2 linked regions of the Daphnia pulex genome follow. The protein of the gene in region 2 binds, or shares a complex with, the protein of the main gene of each other region. Links are inferred from orthologs where the notes say so. Each region holds a gene or a part of one and is shown on either strand. Other genes may lie near its edges.

Region 1 (4,310 bases), on a different chromosome or scaffold from region 2:
ATATTTAAAATCTTCGAGAGTCGTACCTATAGAACAAATATATGTTACAAATTTCCAATAATACGCAGATTTTCAAAGGACTTACGATTGGTGTCAGAACGTGGATGGGCAAGGAGCCAAACGTCGTTTCTTGTGGTGTCAATCTTGAATTAGACGATCCCAAGACAGGATCGCTGACTAAACTTGAAGAATCAGAATGAGAAGTGTGTCCAATTCGTGTGCCACTGACATGTGAAGTTAAAGATAAAGTAGGCATTGCAACTTCAAGGGAAGACTGTTTAATGGGCTGTTGATGTTGACTCGAGATTGTTAGTGTTTGCTGCTGTGAAGCCATCAGTGGTATTATTGCGGGGGTCGGTGGTAAAACAGCTGGGCGAGGGCGAAACCGTTGAGCCAAACTCGATATCGAAATCATGTCTACTGTTTCATTCGACTAACAAGGAAATTTGTTTTTAGTTGAAGATGTCTTTCGTTGTCAAGACGAACATTACACGTACCAAAACTTCGTAATCCGGAACAGAGTGTGTTCCCAATCCTTGTCTATCAAATGTGATGCGGTATGTATTATTGGACGTATCTACGGCATCGATTTGGCCAACGAACAATCCATCCTTTAATGGGAAGAAAAAAATAAATAATTACTACGTATTTATTTTTCCTTCTTTTTAAATCATAAATAATTATAGTCACTAGGTCATAGTTTTAACGTCACACTCCACATATTCTTTTATTGAGCTATGTATACCCACTTCAAACTCTTGCGCTGTTATCTTAAAACACTTAGAATAACTACGGCAATCATCTCATATATACTAAGGGAATCGAAAATACTTCGGCATTTCATTAGACCAACGGCATCTTGGTATGATCACACAAGATTGCCGTCGACTGACGAAAAATCGATAACAATTTAAGTAAATAGCTGAAGTATTGTGCTTAAGTGTACCTGTGGTTGCCGAAGTCTGGCCGTCACTTTGGTGCCGATAACCAAAGGCATAGGGATAAGATCCGGCAAATCCCTACAAAGAGATGCCATATCGCTTACTTTGCGCTGTTGAACTAAACGAATCTTCTGTCTTTTTTTGGCCAATTCTCCTCTTTCTTCATTAAAAAATGCCTAAAATGAATCAAGAGGGGGAAAAATTGGATAAGAAAATGTTAGAAACTGGACAAGCCATTTGCATGAATAAAAATTTAGGCACCTGAGAACAACGTCTTGGTCTTCCCATAAGACGACGGATGGTACACCACTGGGATCTAGTAAGCTGTCGCAATTTCAAGCTGGGGAATGACTCTCGTAAACATAGCATAAAGTCATTGTCGCCTTCAAACAATGCTCTAAAATAAATAAATAAATAATAATAATTAAAAAAAAAAAACGGTTACAGCAAAATGGAGTGCTTCACAAATTATAAGGAAATCGACGAAACACACAACTACAACCATTTCTTTTTCCCCATGCAAGGTATAAAATAAATGGCACAAAAACGTACTGGTCTAGATTACTGTAGAACCATTCATAGCAGACCCATTTGTGCGCTTTGGGTAACTTAAGTAAATTGCGTAAGCGGACACCAAGTTTTTTCAAGTCTTCGGCTTCTTGCTCAGCCGTTGTTGCTGCAACCGAAGGTAAAGCGGCCGCGGCCACAATACTCCGAGCACGACGTCCAACAACTAAAGGTTCACTCTTCTGCTTTTCCGGCAACTAATACAAATGATATAGTATACAATTATTGGCAATATTTAATATATAAAAATTTTACCTTAAAAGCTGGCTTAACCTTCATTTTCTTTAGCTTTGCCTTAACTCGATTAGTAGTTTTGAGCGGCGTCGAAGCATTTGATCCACTGCGACGTTCCGGAGTACCAGTTGCACTGCCAGGTGCAGATCTTGTGTGGCCTGTAACACAATTTACTGTTAATCATGATTACATTTTTTAAAATAATTTATTTAACCTCTCTTTATTATTTTTGAAGTGGTAACTTGAGGTGCTAACTGGTTTGAATGAGATGATCCACTAACACCACTGTTGGATTTTGTGGATTTCCTTGGAGATTTATTAGTAGATTGGTTGACAATAGTATCATCATCAAAGAACAATGGATTCTTTTTTCGAATTCTTGCTGGCTAAAATAAAAATTAGTTTCCACAATTTATTACATCATATAATCAAATAAAGTCCAAATAGTCTCACTTACAATGCCTCTTCTGTTCAATGTGATTGGATTTGAAGTGGTACTCCCAGTTATTTTTGAACTAGAGGATGAATTTACATCACTGATCCGTTTTAATCCAAACATTTCTGGGCCTAAAGTCATTGCTTGATTCGCCTGTTCTGAGTCATCTCCAAAATCAAGCTCTCTTTTCACTTTGAATCCTCCATTTTTGAATGAAAGTAAAGCTTCTGCAGATTCAGCTATACAGAATTTCAAATATAAATATTAAAGTTAAGTAAAACTCTTAACACAATGTACTTCAATTGATTTGGAAAATCTATTAATGCTCAATTTTCATAACAATTGGTTGAATGAGAAATTACAAACTTAAGCAAATATGAGGTAACAATATAAACAAGTAAGGAGCCGTTCTAGAGCTTAACCCAAATCGTATCAGACAGAAATTTATAATAAATTATTAAAACTACAAAAGATTTTCAAACTGAGTTTAAAGAAAAAACATAATTAACCGTCAAAGCTTAATTGTTTGTTTACGTTTTGCAGTTAAGATAACTTACTTTCAAGTAAATCCGCCATTTTCAAGCAGTTTTTTCAACTTTCAGAATCGCTCGAATCGTCAAGCTTGGGACGTTGCCGCATTGACGAATTGTAAACCAAAAAAAAAAATTAATAAAATATTACATTTTTCTTGCTGATTTAGTGATTTTTTTACTTCTAAATTATAATAATCTAAATCCTTTTTCTAATATTTTATTACTATTTTAAATTGTAGCTTGCATTTGTTATTGGATACCTCATAGCTATTAACACTCTCGAATCACAGCAAATTTTTATCCCTGAGGGTAGTACTTGTACTACCAGAAGGCATTAAAGTAAATGCGGGTGTCTGGGTGTGTAGGAGGGGGAGGGATGTGGGGGGAGTGTACGCTGTTCTGGGCCAGGCTTCCAGAACCTTTAATTCAGAATCAGAATAAATTTATAGAAATCTAAACTACTGCATCGATTTTCTTCAAACTGTTTGTGTAAACTTACAGTAATTTATCTCAGCGGATAGGTAAGTTTCGATTCATTTGGTAATACTAAATTTAATTTAATTTTATGCGGATTTAGTCATTAGCTTTTTGTGACTTAGGACAACCACAACATCAATTCGATTGTCTGTTTGTTTTGTTTTTGTTGTCTGATTTATCAGTTAGTCAGTTACCGAACGTCGTCATCATGTTGACATGGTTAGCTTGCAATTTGTAATTATTAAAGTAACGCATAATTTCAACATTCCTGTTTCAATTCTTAGGCAAAAGACTATACTATGGATTACCTTATTCATCATTGTCATTGTAATTGTTTCGCATAGCTAAATGCTTCATGAAGGGTAAATCAACGCAATATCATTTATTATTTTGAGTTTTCTTACGTATTTTGTTTGCCTAACTAATTTTGTTGTGACGCCCAGGAAAATGACCATAAAATGGGTTTGCTTGATTTTCATGGTAGTGTATTAAACCATTTCTGTGAGTCACTCATTGATTTTGTTGTGACGCCCAGGAAAATGACCATAAAATGGGTTTCTTGATTTTCATAGTGCACTAAACCATTTCTGTGAGTCACTCACTGATATAAATACCATATGATGAGTAGTCATCATGTATGGTAAGCACTGAAATAATTTACCATAATTGTAATGCCTCACGATAAATTTTATTTTGACTGTTAGGCTAATGATTAGAAGTTAGACATGAATATGTATCGTCCTCACCTAAATTTGGATGTGCACGTGTCTGTTTCAGAAAGAAAGTTAAGGACAGGAGAAGATGAGCATTGGTAATACTAAATTTTATTTTATTTTATGCGGATTTAGTCATTAGCTTTTTGTGACTTAGGACAACCACAAAATCCATTAGGTTGTCTGTTGACAGTCTGTTGATGTCTTGTTCAGTAAAAATAAATTTCGTCAACAGTTTTGTTATTGTTACAGGATATTGTTTCTCTTTTAGAGAAGTTCAGTGGAACAAAGGTATTTTGGTGTGTGCTATTCCATTTAAGAAATGTACGTAAATTCATCAATTATGCTAGGCAATATTTTGGGATGAACAACTCACTGGCCCCATTGGTTTGGTGGCAGAATACAGTTT
Region 2 (4,226 bases):
AATGGTCGAGAAGTTGACTGTTGCTGGCGAACCACTCACCCCGATTGAACTCTAAAAATAAATTGAAAATAAACGTTTCATCAATAAAATTACGTGATATCTAAGAAATCAAATTCGTCGACTTTCCTAGACCTATTAAATCGAACACAAGATAGATGAATCACCTGAGAAGTATACTGAGCTGGAACCATCACAAGGCCGCTTGCCAGGGAACCCATCGATCCAGCAGGTAGTATAATACGTTGAGCTCCTGGAGGAACATTAACAGTGGAAATCGCACCCTTTACTTGCCCTACCGCCTTTGTTAAAGTAGTTGTTCCCTTAACTGTTTGTTGTGCCAGCGAACTGTTTGCTGAATGAATCTGTTAAAATTTTTTTAAAAACAATAAAAACAAAAAATTGTAATTCTGTATAATTTCAGGATTATCAGGTTGAATATTTTACCTTAATAGAATTTGCAGTAGGTGCCCCGATTATAACTTTTGAAGTTCCTGATGCAGTAACCAAATTTCCCGACCCGTTGTTTCCAGCAGATGGGTTAACAACGCGAACTAATTGTATCTAAAACCAATACATTTCATATTAATTTACACATTCCAATTTTGATGATCGAAACAACCTTGTTCCCGGCAAGTTGAAAATGCTGCTGTTGACCACTCTGTTCTCCGTGGGTTCCGATTGCGGGGAGTATTCCGGCAGCTAAAGCTTGAGCTGTTGTTAATCTTATGTACTGAGCCGGTTGTGTTCCACTTCCTTGACGAACTAAAAATATGTTTGAAAAATGGATTATTAAATAATTAATTACAAAAACCACAGTTTTAAAATTCGCAACATAAAAGATAAATTCGCATTTTAACACAAATCTGCGATTTTACCTTGGGCTGCAGTGATCGGGCCTGGTGCAGAAGGTCTCAGTACGAACTTCTGAGGACTAAGGGGGTTCATGTTGGTGACATTACCACCGTTGGGTCTAGTTTGGACCAGTGCTGCCATTGTTACTTGTCCAGCAGCGTTCTTTATCAGTAAGCTGGTTGGTTGGCTTTGTATTGAAGAACTGGATGAAATATTCGATGCAACTGTCTGCGGGGGAGCTGGGGCAATTTTCGTTGGTGTTTTGGTGGGGGCGCTTCTTACCAACGTCACGTTTCCTCCTGCAAATTTAGCTCCTTGTTTTCCTGCCAAGATATTGGTAGTAGGGGTTCCTTGACTTGCCGTGGCAACGGCGACTTTATTTACAATTAAAGGTTGCCCCTGATTTTAAAATATATATTAGTTCCCATTTCATACGTTTTTTAGGCGTTTGTCTACCTTTTTAGGCGATATAAGTCCAAGCTGTTGGGCTTGCTGAAGTGTGATGGTTTTGGTCGGGCTCATAAGGCGAACAGATTGTGAATGAATGTTTGAAGAGGGTGTACCGATGGTCGACATTTTACTTCCATCTGTACTAAGGGCATTAACAAACCGCAAATTTGTATTCGGAGTTAGTAGAGATGTTAATCCACTTGTTGATGCTGGAACTGTAAGAAGTAATGGCTGTCCAGTTTGATTTTGGCTTGTGGGTGCTAGCACGACTTTAGTAACCTATTCATTGAAAAACCAATAATTAATAAAAGAAATAATTAAGAAAAATAAAATATTAATTAAACCTGAGTCGAGGAAGAAACTGGAATTGTTTTCTTGATTTGACCCAGAGGGAAAACAGTTCTAGTCACTGGTTCGACTACCGGTAAGGAAACGGACATTGGCGTTATCGAGGGCGCATTTTTATCATCACACTGGCTTGTCATGATACTGATTCCCATGTCACTTTGATCCATAAAACTTTCTAAGGGTATTGAGTGTACCTCTTGACTTCTGCTCACTTCCATGTTCTAAAATAATGTAAACAACAGATAATTAGGAAAAAAAAAGTTTAATATTTAGAGTATATTACTTGCACATCCACCTCCATAGCTTCAATAGTCATAGTTTCCACTTCTTCAGAATGACCCAGATCATTCATATTCAAGTTGTTGGGGTCATTTCCTAAATGCACTGCTGACTCATTTGTCTGAACATGTTCCTCTACTATGCCAGAAACATTGGACATGTTGGATACTGCATCATTCGATTCCAATGCTCCTTCTAATCCAAGCCATAGACTGGGGTTGTTTGCCTTCAAAAGAATATGGTTGGAAATTTAAAAATATGTCAAAGAATGCTAAATAACAACTGTCTTTAGAAACCAACTTTGATAGCTTTAATAACTTACCAAATCAGCCACATCAGTGTTAACTAAATCAGGAGGTAAATCTGAGACTTCTGTTGTTATCACTTCTGTATGTTCATCATTTTCTTCTCCAACAGAAGTAAGGGAGAGAATGAAGTCATCTGTTTCGACTTGCATAGCGGAAACTGGGAAGGAAAACAAGATTAGTAAGGTAAATATCTATCAAGTAGGTACTTAATCATACTATCAAATAAGCTTCTAAGTGATCTTAGCATTGGGAAGGTTAATATCTGTTTAATGTAATCCAAAATTTATTCCAGTTTAAAAAGATTTTTCAACGAATATCGAAAAACCCGCCTGTAATAGGCGCCATTTTGAAAATAGTTTCCTAAGGGCATCAACCTAGCTTGAATTTTATGCAATCAGATCTATTTTTGTGTGAAATTAGTATTCTTAACTTGACGGAAATAACACAGTCATGATCTAAACAACGGTAAGATAAAATATAAATACCTTCATCTCGAGAACTCGACATCATTTAAGAGGAAATGTACGATCAGCCCGCCATGAACTTATTCAAAGCGACGCCTGCGATTGCTCTTTACACTTAGTTCGTTATGTCGCGGCTAGGTGTCGTGAAAATTTCTGATCTTACTCCACACGCCCCACACGATGATATTTCTAATATGGCATGATGCTTGGCATCATAATATCATATATTTTTAAAGTGTTGCAACTTAAAATGATTTTAAAATGTTGTTACGAAAATGCTTTTAATAACAAGCAAAAAACAAGTATGAACTGCAGGGATAATATTTCAGAAAAACATCGAGCGATTAGCGAACGATAGCGCTTACATTTTGGGTAACCGTGTTGTCTGTCCCGGTCCGTCCGTGTAATCCTTTGGTTTATTTCTTTACAATCATCGCATTTTCAATCTTCTAATAAAACAACGAAATTTTTTTTCTACAGTAATGTGTATCTGATTCCCATATTACGTCAGCATGAACTGCAATTCTGTGGACAATTATCAAACAATCGAAAGTTATTTTACATAAATAAACTTAGCCCTTTTTCGAATAATGCCTCAGTGGCAGTTTGAGGATTAGCTTAGTCCGTGTTCGAAGAAGCCCATAAAATCTTGTTTGGATTAAGTGAGAAAAGCGTTGATGACTGATGAGTGCCCCATTTCCTGTACAATAAGGAATGTCAGAATAAAGAAACAGAGTATTATTCAGTTTACATACTATGCGAATTCGAAAAAATGAAATAATAAATCTTTAGATTTTATGGCATTGCAATGCGTGTGTAATTGACTTGTATATAGTATATGATACTATGAGATTTCTAAGGGGGAAACATTTTTTTTTGTTTCTTCTCTCGCGCGTGCATTTGTTTGTTGCCCCTTTTTTGTTTTTCTTTTCACCCATCCGTCTTCCGAACTTATTTTTTTGCCTTGAGCCCCGGCCACGGCCAATCAAGTAAGACAAAAGAAGTACGAATACGAGTATTTTTTTAAAGCAAAACAATACCAGAAGGCATGTTGGCGAAAACAGACAGAAAATAGAAGAAAATGTTCTTGGATTTTCAAGGATTATTATTATTGTCAACTAAAAAAAAAACTGTATTAATTAGAACATTTACAGAGTGCCCGATTTGATTTTTCACTAAATTCTACATAAAGTGGGAAGTATGCATTGCGACATTTGCGAGTTGCGACTGGCTGCGAATCCTGCGATGCCGCTATAGTCGCGATTCATAGCTAATGCAAATCTGGCGTTCTGGCCCTGTTGAGTTGTGGATTCATTGTTAGCGTTATTTGTTCTTCTGGAGGCGTGCGTACCTTATTATGAGTTGCGGAATCACACCAGTCTTTGTTTTCCGGAAATCTTTTGTTTGAGTGCTGTTTTGCAGTGTAATTAGAGGTGATATTAGGTAATATTTATTTTTTTATTTTTTCAACAGTTTTCTTTGTACTCATATTTTCTGGTAGTAAATTTGTTCGACTTAATATAAA

The links. Proteins that work in one complex are often made in the same cells at the same time.
Region 1: protein lin-54 homolog (region 2) and protein lin-9 homolog share a complex: the UniProt entries of both Homo sapiens proteins name them as parts of the DREAM complex. The link is inferred for Daphnia pulex from reciprocal best matches to the Homo sapiens genes LIN54 and LIN9.

Annotation. Positions count from the first base shown.
Region 1 is NC_060023.1:5,470,524-5,474,833, reverse strand, and holds the start of protein lin-9 homolog, read right to left. Parts: upstream 2,806-4,310; 5' UTR 2,755-2,805; coding exon 2,736-2,754; intron 2,418-2,735; coding exon 2,200-2,417; intron 2,129-2,199; coding exon 1,957-2,128; intron 1,901-1,956; coding exon 1,764-1,900; intron 1,706-1,763; coding exon 1,494-1,705; intron 1,339-1,493; coding exon 1,203-1,338; intron 1,118-1,202; coding exon 947-1,117; intron 612-946; coding exon 498-611; intron 434-497; coding exon 86-433; intron 27-85; coding exon 1-26. UniProt on the Homo sapiens protein: Acts as a tumor suppressor. Inhibits DNA synthesis. Its ability to inhibit oncogenic transformation is mediated through its association with RB1. Plays a role in the expression of genes required for the G1/S transition.
Region 2 is NC_060026.1:5,748,539-5,752,764, reverse strand, and holds the start of protein lin-54 homolog, read right to left. Parts: upstream 2,830-4,226; 5' UTR 2,748-2,829; coding exon 2,723-2,747; intron 2,395-2,722; coding exon 2,252-2,394; intron 2,156-2,251; coding exon 1,934-2,155; intron 1,872-1,933; coding exon 1,647-1,871; intron 1,582-1,646; coding exon 1,309-1,581; intron 1,252-1,308; coding exon 876-1,251; intron 763-875; coding exon 620-762; intron 562-619; coding exon 445-561; intron 363-444; coding exon 165-362; intron 52-164; coding exon 1-51. UniProt on the Homo sapiens protein: Component of the DREAM complex, a multiprotein complex that can both act as a transcription activator or repressor depending on the context. In G0 phase, the complex binds to more than 800 promoters and is required for repression of E2F target genes.